Lytechinus pictus: one gene and its partner. The main gene of each other region encodes a partner of the protein of the gene in region 2 in a complex. Links are inferred from orthologs where the notes say so. Each region holds a gene or a part of one and is shown on either strand. Other genes may lie near its edges.

Region 1 (7,665 bases), on a different chromosome or scaffold from region 2:
TTTAGGGCTATAATTATTGAGATTGTTCTTTTTTAAATCGCATACTAGATGAAATATAAATAGGGCATGCTGACGTGGCTAATTTAATGAACGCCATGTTTAGGGTGTGATTTATTGATGGAGCTGACTTGGCTTATACACCACTAAGGGTGAGTGACTATTAATAGTTACATGTTAGTATACCAGATAATTTGTTCCATTTTGATGTGAATTTATATGGATTTGTAACGCAATTTGACATGCCGTGTAGGTTTTATCCCAGACGGTTATTGATTTATGGCTCATAAATCAATAAACGGCATCATTGTTATATACATTATTAAAAGGAAAAATAATTTAATTATGAAATTATTAATATATCGCAGAAAAAGAAATAGAAATTACTCAATAGTATTTCGATCGTACCTGGTACAAAATACTATTGAGTAATTTCTATTTTTAATGCTACTGTATGTGTTATGGTGACTTGCCAAATGAAATCAATCAATCAATAAATCCATCCATCCATCCACCAACCAACCAACCAACCAACCAACCAACCAACCAACCAACCAACCAACCAACCAACCAACCAACCAACCAACCAACCAACCAACCAACCAACCAACCAACCAACCAACCAACCAACCAACCAACCAACCAACCAACCAACCAACCAACCAACCAACCAACCAACCAACCAACCAACCAACCAACCACCCAAAACCAAAACCAAAACCAAAACCAAACCAAACCAAACCAAACCAAACCAAACCAAACCAAACCAAACCAAACCAAACCAAACCAAACCAAACCAAACCAAACCAAACCAAACCAAACCAAACCAAACCAAACCAAACCCAACCCAACCCAACCCAACCCAACCCAACCCAACCCAACCCAACCCAACCCAACCCAACCCAACCCAACCCAACCCAACCCAACCCAACCCAACCCAACCCAACCCAACCCAACCCCCCATCCCAGGGCCATGCATTATGAGACAAAATGTACCCCAAATCTGTTGACTCAATAAAGGGATGGTCAGGGCTGAAAATATTTATATCTTAATACATAGAATAGGGTTCACTGAGCAAAATGCTGAAAATTTCATCAAAATCGGATAACAAATAATAAAGTTATTGAAGTTTAAAGTTTATTTTGTGAAAACAGTCGTCATGAATATTCATTAGGTGGGCTGATGATGTCACATCCCCACTTTCCGTTTTCTTATGTTATTACATAAAATCATATTTGTTTTCATTATTTCATACTTGTGTGAATAATATGTCTCCCATATCATGAAATAAGTTGCAGCAATAAATATCTAATGCACTAAATCAGTTGTCAATACAATTTTTCTAGTTCTTGGAGAAAAACTTTGAATAAACCTAATTTTTTATATAATGCCTGGGGTAACGCTGCTAAAGTTCATTTGGATGGGTTATTTAAAGTCCAGAAAAGGGTAATTAGACTAGTATGTGGAGTAAGTTCACGATCTCACACAAATATTTTGTTTTATGAAAACAAGTTCCTTAATTTACATGACATATTTGATCTCAACCTTGGTTGCATTATGTATCAATTAAATAAAAGAGAACTTCCACTTGCCCTAGAAATGACCAAATCCATTTTTACTATACAAGACAAGTTTCTTTTCTCCACTTGCCATTGGTCAAAACTAGTTTTCGGCTAAATACATTTGTTTATACAGGGCCAAAATTATGGAACTCCCTTCCTTCTTCATTGAACCAATCAGTTAGCCTTAGTGTTTTTAGAAACAAGTTAAAGACCGATTTACTGAAGAAGTACTTAAATCAGTAAACGAATACCTGCTTGTTATATCTCGTCTAACTTTAGAAATTGTATTCTTCCCACAATTATCTATGCAACAATAGAGCTTTGCCTATTTTCTTTATATTTTCCTCTTTTCTTTCTTTTCGAATTTCAGATTCTTATACTTTAGGTCTAATAGAATGTTTGCATTCTGCATTTCACCTTTTTGTTACTTTTTAGTGTATCTTTTGTAAATATGTATATCTGTACTTTGGTTGTTTACTCCAATTTTTTGTTTACTTGTTCTATGATGTTTTAAAATGATTCACGCTAATATAAGTTTTTAACATTCTGGTGGCATATGGCCAACAAGCGGCTAAGCTTCTTAGTAGGTCACCACGTTTCATTTCCATCTGTTCTCATGGGTGTTACTAATGTTCCATAAAAAGTAGTGCATGTATTATGTATATTATCCTGTAATTATTTACTTTTGTTCTTTGCTATTTACTTGTTCTCCCAATAATTTACTGTTGTTATTGTTGTTGTTTGATATCGGAATTGAAACGAAATAAAGATTCATTCATTCATTCAAAATACAAAAGAACAAGTGGAGATGTGACGGGGATGTCCACCTAATGAATATTCATGACGACTGTTTTCACAAAATATTGCTAAACTTTAAAATTCAATAACTTTGTTATTTGTTATCGTATTTTGATGAAATTTTCGGCATTCTGCTGATCTGCTCAGTGAATTCTACTCTATTTATTAAGCTATAAATATTTTCAGCCCGGACCATCCCTATAACACCACTCTGTCTCTCTCTATATACCGTATATACAGTGCGTCCCAAAAAAAACTATACACTTTTGAAATGGCTGCCAAATAAAAAATGTAGCACTTTGGGGGAAAAGACTTATAGATATGGAAAGCCAATAAAGTCAACTTTCAAATGACACCAAAAAGTTGGAAAACTATTCATGCTTGAGCGAGCACTGCCCACTGAAACAAAGGGTATGAAAATTAGGGTGGGCCGGAATTAGCCTTCCAATTTCTTTCAGGTTTTTTTGTTTGGTACTTAAAAGTTGAGGGTTATTTGGTGAATTAAAGATCATTTGTGATCAGTTTGTTGTTTGTGTAAATTTAATGCGTTATTAAATTGAAATTTAATGCATGAGTGATCATGAATTGCAATTTTTAGTGCAGCATTTTGTCTTTATCATGTGGATCTCAACAATGTGTTCATGAGAGTCAGGAGAAGAGGGGGTAATATGACTTAGGTAGGTGAAGTACGTTGATGGGATAAAGGTCAACAGAACATTTAAGCAACCCCTCTCTCCATCTCAACCCCCACTTCTCTTCTGAGAGATTAAGCTCGGCTAGACTGGGCAGGAATTAGCCTTACAGTTTTTTGGAGTGGTTAGTCCTTTGGAACTTGCTAAGCTAAGGGTGTTAAGCTAAATTGATGATAAGATAAGTAAGATAAGTTTTGGTTTCTTGGGCAAATTTCACGAGTTACTAAATTGAAATTTAATGCATGAGTGAGCCGGAGTTGTAATTTTAGTGTAGCATATTCATCTTTTGGACCTCAGAAGTGTGTTCGTGAGAGGAAGAGTAATATGATGGTACCTGTTACAAGCAAGAGGGCGAGATATGCTAAGACTTGGTTAAAAGGGCATTCCTCTTCTTTTTGTCCTTTTTACATATTAATAGTCATATGTACCATCCCTTCTCCACCTCCATTTCCCAGCCCCCCCCCTCTCTCTCTCTGTCTCTTTTCCTGGATTGTAGCCTATTCAAAACTTAACTGCCAAGTGACCGGTGGCTGATGGTCAATTTTTTTTTTGGAATCATTACCAAGAAATTTAATGATTATGATGATTAATGAAATAATTTATTGAAAAAAAAATGAATGTTTGATTGATCACATTGCACATTGAATGAGTTGATTTACTAATAAATTGTTGATTCAATGATTGATAGGAAAAAGTTGATGCCCCAATTCAGAATTTATCATTAAATCGACATTCTGCTCTGGACTTCACGCATACATGACAATAGCCATCAGTCTCACAACAGGAGGGGAAGATGGGAAAGAGGGAGGGGGAGGGTGGGAAAGAGGGAGGGGGCGGGGACTCAATGTTCTGTTGACCCTTATTCCATCAACCTGCTTCTCCCACTTAAATCCTATCTCACCCCCTATCCTCCAGACTCCCATGAACACATTGCTGAGATCCACATGATAAAGTTGAAATGCTGCCCAAAAAAGAGATCCAAATGATAAAGTTGAAATGCTGCCCCAAAAGTATAATTTATGCTCACTAATGCATTAAAGTTCAATTACATAATTTATGAAATTTGCTTATGCAACCAAAACTGGTCATGGTTGATCATTAATTTATCACAACGCCCTTAACTTTGCAAGTTTAAAAGGATTTGCCTCTTAAAAACTGACACAAATTGGAAGGCTAATTCCAGCCCACCCTAATTTTCATACCCTTTGTTTCAGTGGGCAGTGCTCGCTCAAGCATGAATAGTTTTCCAACTTTTTGGTGTCATTTGAAAGTTGACTTTATTGGCTTTCCATATATGTAAGTCTTTTTCAGCAAAGTGCTCCATTTTTTATTTGGCAGCCATTTCAAAAGTGTATAGTTTTTTTTGGGACGCACTGTATATTCCAATCCCACAAAATTAACGACACCATAATCCTAACTTTTTGTTCAAGGAATTAAGGACGTGATACGCGAAGACGAAGTCGAAGAAAGAGACCTAAAAAGTACCTTATCTGGAATAATGACCTCTCAGCGGAGCATAGTGAACCTTTCAAATTTCTTCATCTACAATACAAATATAAAATGCAGAGAAGGAGAGGTGAGAATAAGTTCTTTCCGAGGCCGTGTTTCTGTCGCTAGCACTAGCTAGCAGCAGTAGCACTGCTCCGTATATTATAAATCGAGTACTGGTGAGAATCTGTGGTCCCATTAACTTGATTCCGTGGAGGTGCTGTCTTGGCTATTGCCGAAAGATGTAGCCGTCGGTGGGGCGCTAATGCAGTTTCGCACCGGCCAACTTCGAGCAAATTTCCCCACCAGGAATTGTTTACAAATGTCATGGCAAGTCTCTCAGTCACATTTCGAGGTCAATATTCCCACTGCTTTTCTAAATATCGCGATCGGGAACGGCTGCATTTACATGATTTAGGCTTTGCTTTTTGCCTTTGCTATTCTTGACACTCATTCAATGTCAATGAACAAGGTTATGAATATGATATTATAACCTAACCCAGGGAACTCCCGCCTGCTGTGCGGGCGGGAGCCCAGGAGCTTACCGTGTATTTGACCATACTCACGGGACTAGGGTGATTTATGGTCTAAATATTTCTCCAAATGAATTATGAAAACAGTAATCATGCACTTACCACGATTATATATGGATGAAGCCAAGGTCTAACGAGTGGCAGTTTCCTGACATCTGGGCACAGACTGGAACCTCAAAAAACGAAAAGTTCTCTCCTTCTACCCCCGTCTCGATCGGCCATTTTTGTTATGAATTGTAACAAAATGGCCGATCGAGACTGGGGTAGAAGGAGAGAACTTTTCGTTTTTTTGAGGTTCCAGTTTGTGCCCAGATGTCAGGAAACTGCCACTCGTTAGACCTTCGATCCATATAATCGTGGTAAGTGCATAATTTCTGTTCTCACAATTCATTTGGAGAAATATTTAGACCATAAATCACCCAAGTCCCGTGATTATGGTAAAATACACGGTAAGCCCCTGGGCTCCCGCCCGCTGTGCGGGCGGGAGCTCCCTGGGTTAGATATAACCTTGTTCTCAGTTATATCTCAGTCCATGTGTGGCAAAATAAGGATGGCAATGTTTGGCTTATTTTCTCTTTTTCTTTGGGACAAATGCTTGATTTTTTTACACTGACAGTTTCCATTACACCTATTCATCATACAACTTGGCCCTTTAGTAAATTTGATTCTTTAAATTATTTTTTTCTTAATTAAAAATAGAGACAAAAAATGAAAATTTTCTTGCTATATTATTTCAGAGCTGCCAACCATTACGTTTTTGCCGTAATCATTACGTTTTTTCATTCAAATTACGGCATTATGGTTTTTCTTTTCAAATTACGTTTTTTGACAATTTTGATAATGTATGTGGAGTGCTAGATGAGCCTGGTACTTGCTCGTGCGTAGTCGCCCGCCAGCCGGTTTTCCAACGCACTTTAATAATTTGATAGCGTGCACGTACATGTACATTAGTTGAATATGCGAGCGGCATGCATGGTACGAATCGCGATGTATAGCGACTGGTAAATACGTCTGTAAGGATGATGACGTTATCCAAGATGGCAACTTACGATGACAAATGAAAGGATCGAGGATGATTATGTTTTGATCATCATTTGAAAGGAAATAACAGTAACTGCGGTCTAAGGTACAATATCTCTGAATTTTATATATTTTATCTTAAATTTGCATGTAATTTCTTTCCTATAATTAAAGTGATGTTTTATGTACAAAAAAACGATCCGAAAATCAGATTTCCGCCGAATGTTAGATCTAACGTTACTGCTAATACATTGTCTTTAAGCACGGGCCAACACTCTTCAGGTGAGTGGAGCCAACGTTTGTTCTTGCAGCGCAGAGCGAGGAGTACGATGAATTGGGTAGGGTAATTCCCCAAATGTAGTAAGAGAAGAGTCAATTTGTAATGGAGGGGGGATTTGGAGGTTTGAGGGAAATTATTATTCCATTTGCAAAATTTTACAAAAATACTCATCATATATATTAAAGATTGAATCATCAAAAGATATTTTTCATATACTTTAAAATTAATTGTAGTGATAAAGAAATTAAATTTTGAGGCTATTTTCTTGAATTGATTAATATCGATTCCCTTCGGATAACGGGACTGTCTGGTTAATTTTCATCAACTCGTATCAAACAAATACGATGAATTCGGCTTTGAAAAGACCTGGAAAGCTCTTCATTGTCCCCTGAAGTAATAATTCTGGGTGATATTCAACATTTATTGATAGTTTCACATGATTTATACTAGAGAGATGTCCTACTGCCTTTGGAATTCATTAAAAAAGTCGGCACTTTAGCATTCAGTTTAGCAGGAATGGGAAGATTTCTTCCCCGGTTCTGGCGGCCTAGATGTCTGCTCTATAGTGCTGTCACTGCTGGGGATGATTGAGTGTGCGTGCAGTGTGATTGAGGCTGAGCTGTGCACATCGTGAAGTGATTTACGATGGGACTTTTGTGGAATGATTTCAACTTATCTATAGATCTATTTGAATTTTAGATTAGATTGATTTATGAATAATTTTTCTATATTTGTGGAATGTTACATGTACACTTCCATTTTATGACACTTTAATTTTAAAGGGTACTGTTTGGCAAAAACAATGTTACTTGGGAAGAGAAGTCTGAATTGATGTCAACTTTTTTTTTTATTTCTCTTAGTCTACAATTTGGTAGTTTTGTCAGGAAACTCAACATAAAACAAAGAATTATTTTAGAAGTGGAAAGGAAGCCCCAGAAAAATGGAGCCCTAAAAATGTTCACCAGAACTGATTTTGGTGCCCCTGAAAGAATTTTTTCTCGACAGATCTTCACTTTGATAAGTGCCGGAGTAGGTTGCACTATAAAATGAAAGGCCTACTTGTCATTTTTAGAAAAATTTGCCTAGAATAAAAGTGGCCTTCATGCCCTTTAGAATGGCCTTGATACCCCTTGAAATTTTGGGGCATCCAAGGCCACTTTGCCGGTTGCCCCAAGCTGAAAGTGCCCATTTAAAAATGGCCTTGCCCCTCTCAATTCTTAATTCAAGCCCTGCTACTGACTTAATTAAAGTTGGTAGATTATATCAAACAGCCCAAGACTAAGGGTCCAATTTG
Region 2 (7,118 bases):
ACTTAACAAAAAAGCAACAAGAAATAATTATAAAAAGTAGAAGGGCCTGTACAAGTACACTGATATTTCACTCTCTCAGCTCATATGCACTTGATCGACTTCCATCGAGGATTCGGGCTAAATTCCGCCCGCCACTTCCGGGGACCAACCAACGTAGTATTTCGATGAAGAGCACTCCGTCGATTCACCGGTTGTCCCTACCGTACACGCGCGCCTATGGGGATTGTGAACTGTAGGAAAAATCGTATAAAATTACACTTTTTGATATTTCTACGAAGACGAAGTTATATAGAAAATGAAGAATATTACAATCAGACCATATCCCTAGAAAATTGCTTCAAGAAATGTCATTATGAAGAGGAAATGGACAAAAATTTGTGAAGAAAAATCACGAAAAAGGAAATCGCATCATGAATATTCATATCATGGGCGGTCCCACATTTGCATGTTATAGCGAGTTTTCCATTATTTAATAAATAATGGCATTATTTAATAAATAATGGCATTATTTAATAAATAATGGCATTATTTAATAAATAATGGCATTATTTAATAAATAATGGTTATTTGTATATAAATAATGATTATTTGTATATAATGGCAAACTGTAAAAATTGTTTATAAATAATGATTAATGGGATATTGAAACAAAATTATTATTTATAAATAATGAAGTAGATATTTCATTATTTAACAAATAATCTTTATTTATAAATAATGGAAAACTCGAACATTAAATAATGATTATTTATAAATAATGAGAATAATGGTGCACTCGAAAAAATTATTTATAAATAATGAAGTAGACGTTTTCATTATTTAACAAATAATCATTATTTATAAATAATGGAAAACTCAACAAATTATTTATAAATAATGAAAAACAAATAATCATTATTTATAAATAATGGAAAACTCAACAAATTATTTGTAAATAATGAAAAACAAATAATCATTATTTATAAATAATGAAAAACAAATAATCATTATTTATAAATAATGAAAAACAAATAATCATTATTTATAAATAATGAAAAACAAATAATCATTATTTGTAAATAATGAAAAACAAATAATCATTATTTATAAATAATGAAAAACAAATAATCATTATTTATAAATAATGAAAAACAAATAATCATTATTTGTAAATAATGAAAAACAAATAATCATTATTTATAAATAATGAAAAACAAATAATCATTATTTATAAATAATGAAAAACAAATAATCATTATTTATAAATAATGGAATGTCGAACTATTATTATTTACAAATAATGAAGTATTACTTGGAATTATATATAAATAATTAGAAATGATATTTTATATAATAGTAGTTATTTACAAATAAAATGTAAATTATATATAAATAATAGTTATTATTTAATAAATAATGATTATATAACAAATAATTGTTCTATATAATATTGGTACATTCGGCGCCTCATAATTGTGACGTAATTGTTACATGTACCTTGCAGTCGCGCATCATGCATGGCACGCACATACACTCAACGCATAGAAATCTTGCGCCTTGGTTACGTTTGTGTATGCCGCACTGGCCTCGCCGCGCATTGCCTACAATGTGTTGTACTTTGTTTCATGAACTGGTTCCAGCAAGATTTCTGAAATACTGAAATTAGCGATCAGAATCGGCTCCAACTGCGCAAGCGCATTAGCAGAAATATGGCCAATATTGTCCTCTATTTTGTACAGGATTCCTATGGGCAAAGCCCGGGGAGGGCAACATGGCAAATTTATTATTTAACAAATACTAAAATTTAATAAGTGATTATGAATATAAATTATTATTATAATATTTATAATCACGTATTAAATTTTAGCCAAGGCTCCATGCATGATGAAGAAGTATATATGTCAAAATAATAAAAAATATCATCATGGAGTCCTCAAGGCTATGTAGGACCCCCTTCCATAATTTGGCATAAATGTTTTTTTTGTCCTAGGAACTGAAAACAAACAGGGGTGGTATTCTGAGATCCATTTTATCTCAGATAAAATAAAATATTTTATCTCCGTTAAAATCAGTGAGATAAAATACCCTTAAAATCTCTCCGAATTGGTATTCTGAGAACAATTTTATGTTCATTTTATCTCTGTAAGACACACCTATTTTTTAATCAATATCCAATTAGAAACGCGCTTTTATAGCTCTCTCATATCACTCAACCAATGAAAATCCATTCCGCCAGGAGGTGTGGCAAAGGAGTGAGATTGCGTCAATTTATTAACTTCAATCACGCTTGCAATATACGCTTGCGCATTTTTACAGAGATTTCTTTTTAAAAAATGACAATATATTCATCTTTTTTCGAAGTCTATATTGCATCTTTTCAAGCATCATTTCAAAGACAATATTAGTCAAGAAAAGTCTTATGAAATTCTTCCTGATTGTACAGGAATAACGTTAAGGTATTATTTTCAATAGGCCTAAATATATAATTTTTCTTCATTTTCATGTCAACATTTGTAGTTAATTCACCAAGAAATAATGATGAAATCAACGTCGCGGAGATAAAATAGCCCCTACCCTCTTTTAAGTTTATTTTATTTTTTCTTCAAAGAAGTAACATGAGCGCAAGCACATCATTCGCGTTGCAATGCCATTGCCAATGGCCAGAAGCCCAGATACGCGATGGGTATGTCTACGCACATGACGCAGGCACTCCTCTGTTGCGTATCATCTGTAGATACGCAGATACAATTTCTACGCAAGATAAAATGACCTCAGAATACGTCCCCAGACCTCTAACGTTAGTCGTTTTTTCCGTTAAATCCGATCGACGTCCGACTCAGCTCAGACCTCAGTCTCACTCTCAGACTCAGATCAAGCGCAGCTTCACACGCACACGCCCACATTAACATCCGAACCAGCGACTAATGACGGTGTAGATACCCGGAAGCTCTGGCGACAATCAGAGACAGCGTTCCGCCGGAATAGTGTTTTCGCAGCTCACTTACCTGTCGTTTTACCTCATCGTAAAATACGTTGGTCTGACGGCTGATAGGTTCAAATCTTATCGGATTTCCCGACAGTTCTACATAGTGTGATTGGTCCTCAGCCATATTTGTAGATATTCTTCAACAATTTCGGTTAGAAGAACAATTTTCAATATAATTTTACCAGGACTCAGTCAACTCCACATTCGCGATCTCGTGACCTTCAGCCTTCATCCTTTGAACCTGTTTTCACGCACAAGAAACGAGCTGGGGCCGATTGCACGAAAGGGTCTTTCCAAGGACCGTCTTTCGTGTTGCCCATCTCCTTATGATGCGCTGTATGCGGGATATTTCTGAAATGTATGATAAGCAAATATAATTTGTTAGCTAGCATTTAAATCAATTGGTATACAATTTTATTATATATTACATCATTTTATAACCATAGATTTTGTTTACTTTAACGGATGAATAAATTATGTTTGCAGGTAATTTATTTAAAATGCGTTTCACATGGCGCATCATAATAAATGGGCGACACGAAAGACGGTTCTTGCAAAGACCCTTTCGTGCACAGTACTCGACTGTGCATGTTTCGGGCGCCCAGTGATTCCTCATTTGTTCTTTCTTTCTTCATTTCTTTCATTATCCTTTTCCCATATTTTTCTTTCGGTCTTTTTCTTTCTTTCTCTTTCCTTCCTTCTTCCTGTGATCATTCATTCCTTTAATTCTTCCTTCTTTCTAGCTGAGTATCTCTCTCTCTCCCCTAGCTTCTAGCTCGATCCCTTCCCTTTTCCCCCTTTTTGTTTCTTTCTTTCTTTCTTTCTATATACTCTCTTCTTTTATCAGGTTTCTCTCGATCTCTACTTTATTCTGGACTGTGAACTCGTCAATGGAAGTCGGGCTGTGGAACCCCTAGCTATATAAGGGCGGCGGAGCGAAGTTGAAAGTGGAGGGGGGGGGGCAAGGAAAAAAGGGCACTTTGGCTTTCGAAAAACAGAAGAAAAAACTTATCTATACAGTGCTGTAATGTGCCCACATTTTTTAGGGGGCTAGATATGTCTCATCACGTAACATTTATATTTTGAAAGTTTTCTAATGAAAATCCAATTTCGTGATAGATTAGGATTACTCTTTTTTTTCATAAGTAGTAACGTATATGTTTTCCTGTTTCAAACGGGCACTCTTTGACACATAAAACGGGTCTTCTCAAGTGAAAGGGGCACAGAGCACATTTTTTAGAGGCATTTTTTTTTAGGTAAAAAGGGTCACTGATACAAGAAAGGGCACTAATAAGAAAGCAAAAGGGCACTTGCTAACGACATAAAACGGGTCCTTCTCAGGTGAAAGGGGCAAAGAACACGTTCGTGATCGAGGGGCACTTTTCTTGGGTAAAAAGGGGCAATGATTCGAATAAGGTCAGGAAGGCAAGGGGCACTTGTTCACGTACATAATTAAAACGGGTCCTTCTCAGGTGAAAGGGGCACTGAACACGGTCGTGAGGGGGCATTTTTTGGGGTGAAAATTTGGCACTGATATAGGCCCTGTAGGAGAAATATGGCACTTGTTAACAAATAAAACAGGTCCTTCTCAGGCGAAAGGGGCATATACGTTCGTAAGGGGGCATTTTTCTTGCCTAAAAAGGGCACTTTTTTCGCCGCCCCTGCCCTTAGCTAGCTGCCCACTTTAGCAGGAATTCAGCCTACGATAAAGGTAAAAATGTGTCAGAATCAATATTGCACCCCCCCCCCTCCCGGAAAAAGTAGATATGCCTATTACAAAAATATCTGTATCTATATCGTTCAGTCAGCAAAATACCAGGATTGGCACATGACGCTAACATGGCTAACTTGATTGATGAAAAGTGACTTGGAGAACATGGCGAACGTATATTATAATAGTACTTTTGCTTTTTACTTTTATTATTACCCATTTACAAGACAATGATTCAGCATGGCGAGATATAACCATGGCAACTGTAAGATAAAATTTGAAAACCTAAGCCCCTTTCACAATTATTGGTGATGCGACTGCTTACAACCGTTGCGATTGTGTGCAACATATACTGTGACCAAAGTGGTTGCAACCGATCGCAAGTCTCGATTGTGAAAGCTTTTTAACAGAAATAGATCTTAAAGTATGTTCCCCCCCAAAAAAAAAAACACCTGCGTACAGCTCACTGAATTCTAGCCCCCCCCCCCCCCCCGATGGAAAATGATGGAGAATTGGCATCAGGAGGCAAAAAAGGTGAGGGATCAGCGGGCATCAAATTTCCGTTGCGAGCGTGAACAGCGAGCGAGCCTTATAATCGATTCTAACTTATTTTGGGCAAATATACGAAGTTATAAGCCATATTTGGGTCAAGATTATGATGCTTAATAATGACATGATAAAAGTAAAAACAACATTATTGTATGAACATTTTTGGGAGCGCGAGTCCCCTCCTCCAGAAACATCACTCACCCCCCCCCCCCCCGGCTCCTGATGGGGTGTGGAGAGAATTACACAAACGACAGGGGCGATTTGCCAATGGTTTTATTTTACCGTGTTACTCCATAATAAATATATAAAGCCCTGTGAATATCCACCCACTTAAAGGACATATTAGCATTTTGTGGAATAATTTGCTCGCCTACTCATTTATTTTTTTACTCTTTCTTGAAAAGCTGCCATAGTTGTGGCTCGATCCTATCGCAGCATTTCGAGGTCGCTTGTACCATACCTTGAGTAGCTAGAACGCATCACCTAGAGGCCCGTGGTATCATAGACAAAAATCTGTTGCGTCGAAGCCATGTGAAATAGGACTACAAAATACATGACATAGGTAACAGTGTGATATTGGACGCATGCAGCCAGACAGTTTTAATACAGGATTGCGCTTAATTATGTTCATAGAAGACAGTGGCTCCTAAATCTAATACTGATTAGATATACTAGCTGGAATATATTACACCCTTTCAAGCCATCGTATTCAGCTTTTTATACGTAAGGTAGGATATAACATTATTTTGAAATGATTGTCGCTCCCCAATCTTTCAGTTGATTTAACATTTCATTTTTTTAGTTGAAGATGGTGATGATGATGGTAAAGATGATGATGATGGTGATGATGATGATGGTGATGATGATGATGACGATGATGATGATGACGATGCCTGATGATGATGATGATAATAATGATGCATGATGATGATGATAATGATGATGATGATGACGATGACGACGATGGTGATGATGATGATGATGATGATGATGACGGTGATGATGATGATGATGACGACGATGGTGATGATGACGATGATGATGATGATGATGATAATGAAGAAGAAGAAGAATATATAATGGGGATAAAGATGATGATGATGATGACGACGATGGTGATGATGATGATTATGACGATGATAATGATGTGCTGGTGGTATTTGCGGTGGTTTAATGATACACACACGTAAGCACAAAACTATTTTTTTAATTGAGAGTAAAGATATATCATTCCATGATTAATTGCAAGAGACCAGAGCAAGTAAGCAATATAATATATACCTATTTTTAATATCAACTTTCTAATTGTCCCTATGATAGCCCTGATCGTGTCCCGTGAGTTTCTTAATATTATCTTTGTCTGTATCAGGGTTTTAAACTTTTAATCCAATAATGTGAATGAATAAAACTCCTGATCAGAGGTTACTCATAATAATAAAAAACAAAGATGTTAAATCAACATTATTTTGGTGATCCGTTTTCCAAGTTAACCATTACATTTTGTAAATAGTAAAAGCAATTAAGAAAGTGGGTTCAAAATTCTATTAGACAAGTTCAATTCTATCTCTTCCCCTGCGACAAGCAACGTGGAGGGAGAAAGAGAAGCATTTAGATCATAGGTCGTACTCAAATTTCAGGATAGGGCAGCGATGTCAAAAAGCTTGGGAACAGTGTCAAAATATGAAGCACTTTTTAAGGCTCTATTGCAAGTTCATCAATAAAGAATATCCTATTTTGATAATTCGAAGATTATGTTCCAAGTGTTCTGATGAAAACTAACGCTTTTACAAAATTACAAGCGGTGCGTTTAAGCCTATATCACTCTAACAACATGTTGTTCAAAATGTCTAAACAATTATTTAAACTTTTTAAACATGTTAGAATCTTTAAACA

What was found.
Region 1: the proteins of regulator of MON1-CCZ1 complex-like (region 2) and vacuolar fusion protein CCZ1 homolog are in contact, whole or in part, in a cryo-EM structure (PDB 8JBE), measured with the Drosophila melanogaster proteins. The link is inferred for Lytechinus pictus from reciprocal best matches to the Drosophila melanogaster genes Bulli and Ccz1. Residues at the interface, in NP_648047.2 of Drosophila melanogaster: Tyr395, Gly397, Phe407, Tyr464, Ser467, Met470, Leu471, Gln474, Asn477, Asn498, Arg499, Asp502, Thr503, Arg505, Arg506, Leu507, Tyr510, Met512, Asp530, Thr531, Ala532, Gln535, Ile538, Asp539, Arg543, His547, Ile550, Lys559, Asp562, Leu566; in NP_647835.1 of Drosophila melanogaster: Tyr188, Leu189, Pro190, Leu191, Asp192, Lys193, Thr194, Phe196, Leu197, Arg198, Gln200, Asn201, Glu207, Val223, Leu224, Cys225, Gly226, Lys228, Tyr342, Asn385, Gln387, Ser388, Pro427, Ala428, Asn447, Tyr448, Arg449, Asp479, Phe483, Lys485.

The regions. Positions count from the first base shown.
Region 1 is NC_087254.1:25,998,260-26,005,924, forward strand, and holds the start of vacuolar fusion protein CCZ1 homolog, read left to right. Parts: upstream 1-4,454; 5' UTR 4,455-4,548; coding exon 4,549-4,626; intron 4,627-7,665. UniProt on the Drosophila melanogaster protein: Part of the Mon1-Ccz1 guanyl-nucleotide exchange factor complex specific for Rab7 that promotes the exchange of GDP to GTP, converting Rab7 from an inactive GDP-bound form into an active GTP-bound form.
Region 2 is NC_087261.1:21,300,507-21,307,624, forward strand, and holds the start of regulator of MON1-CCZ1 complex-like, read right to left. Parts: upstream 3,202-7,118; 5' UTR 3,090-3,201; coding exon 2,985-3,089; intron 1-2,984. UniProt on the Drosophila melanogaster protein: Positive regulator of the Rab7 guanyl-nucleotide exchange activity of the Mon1-Ccz1 complex, possibly by enhancing its endosomal membrane association.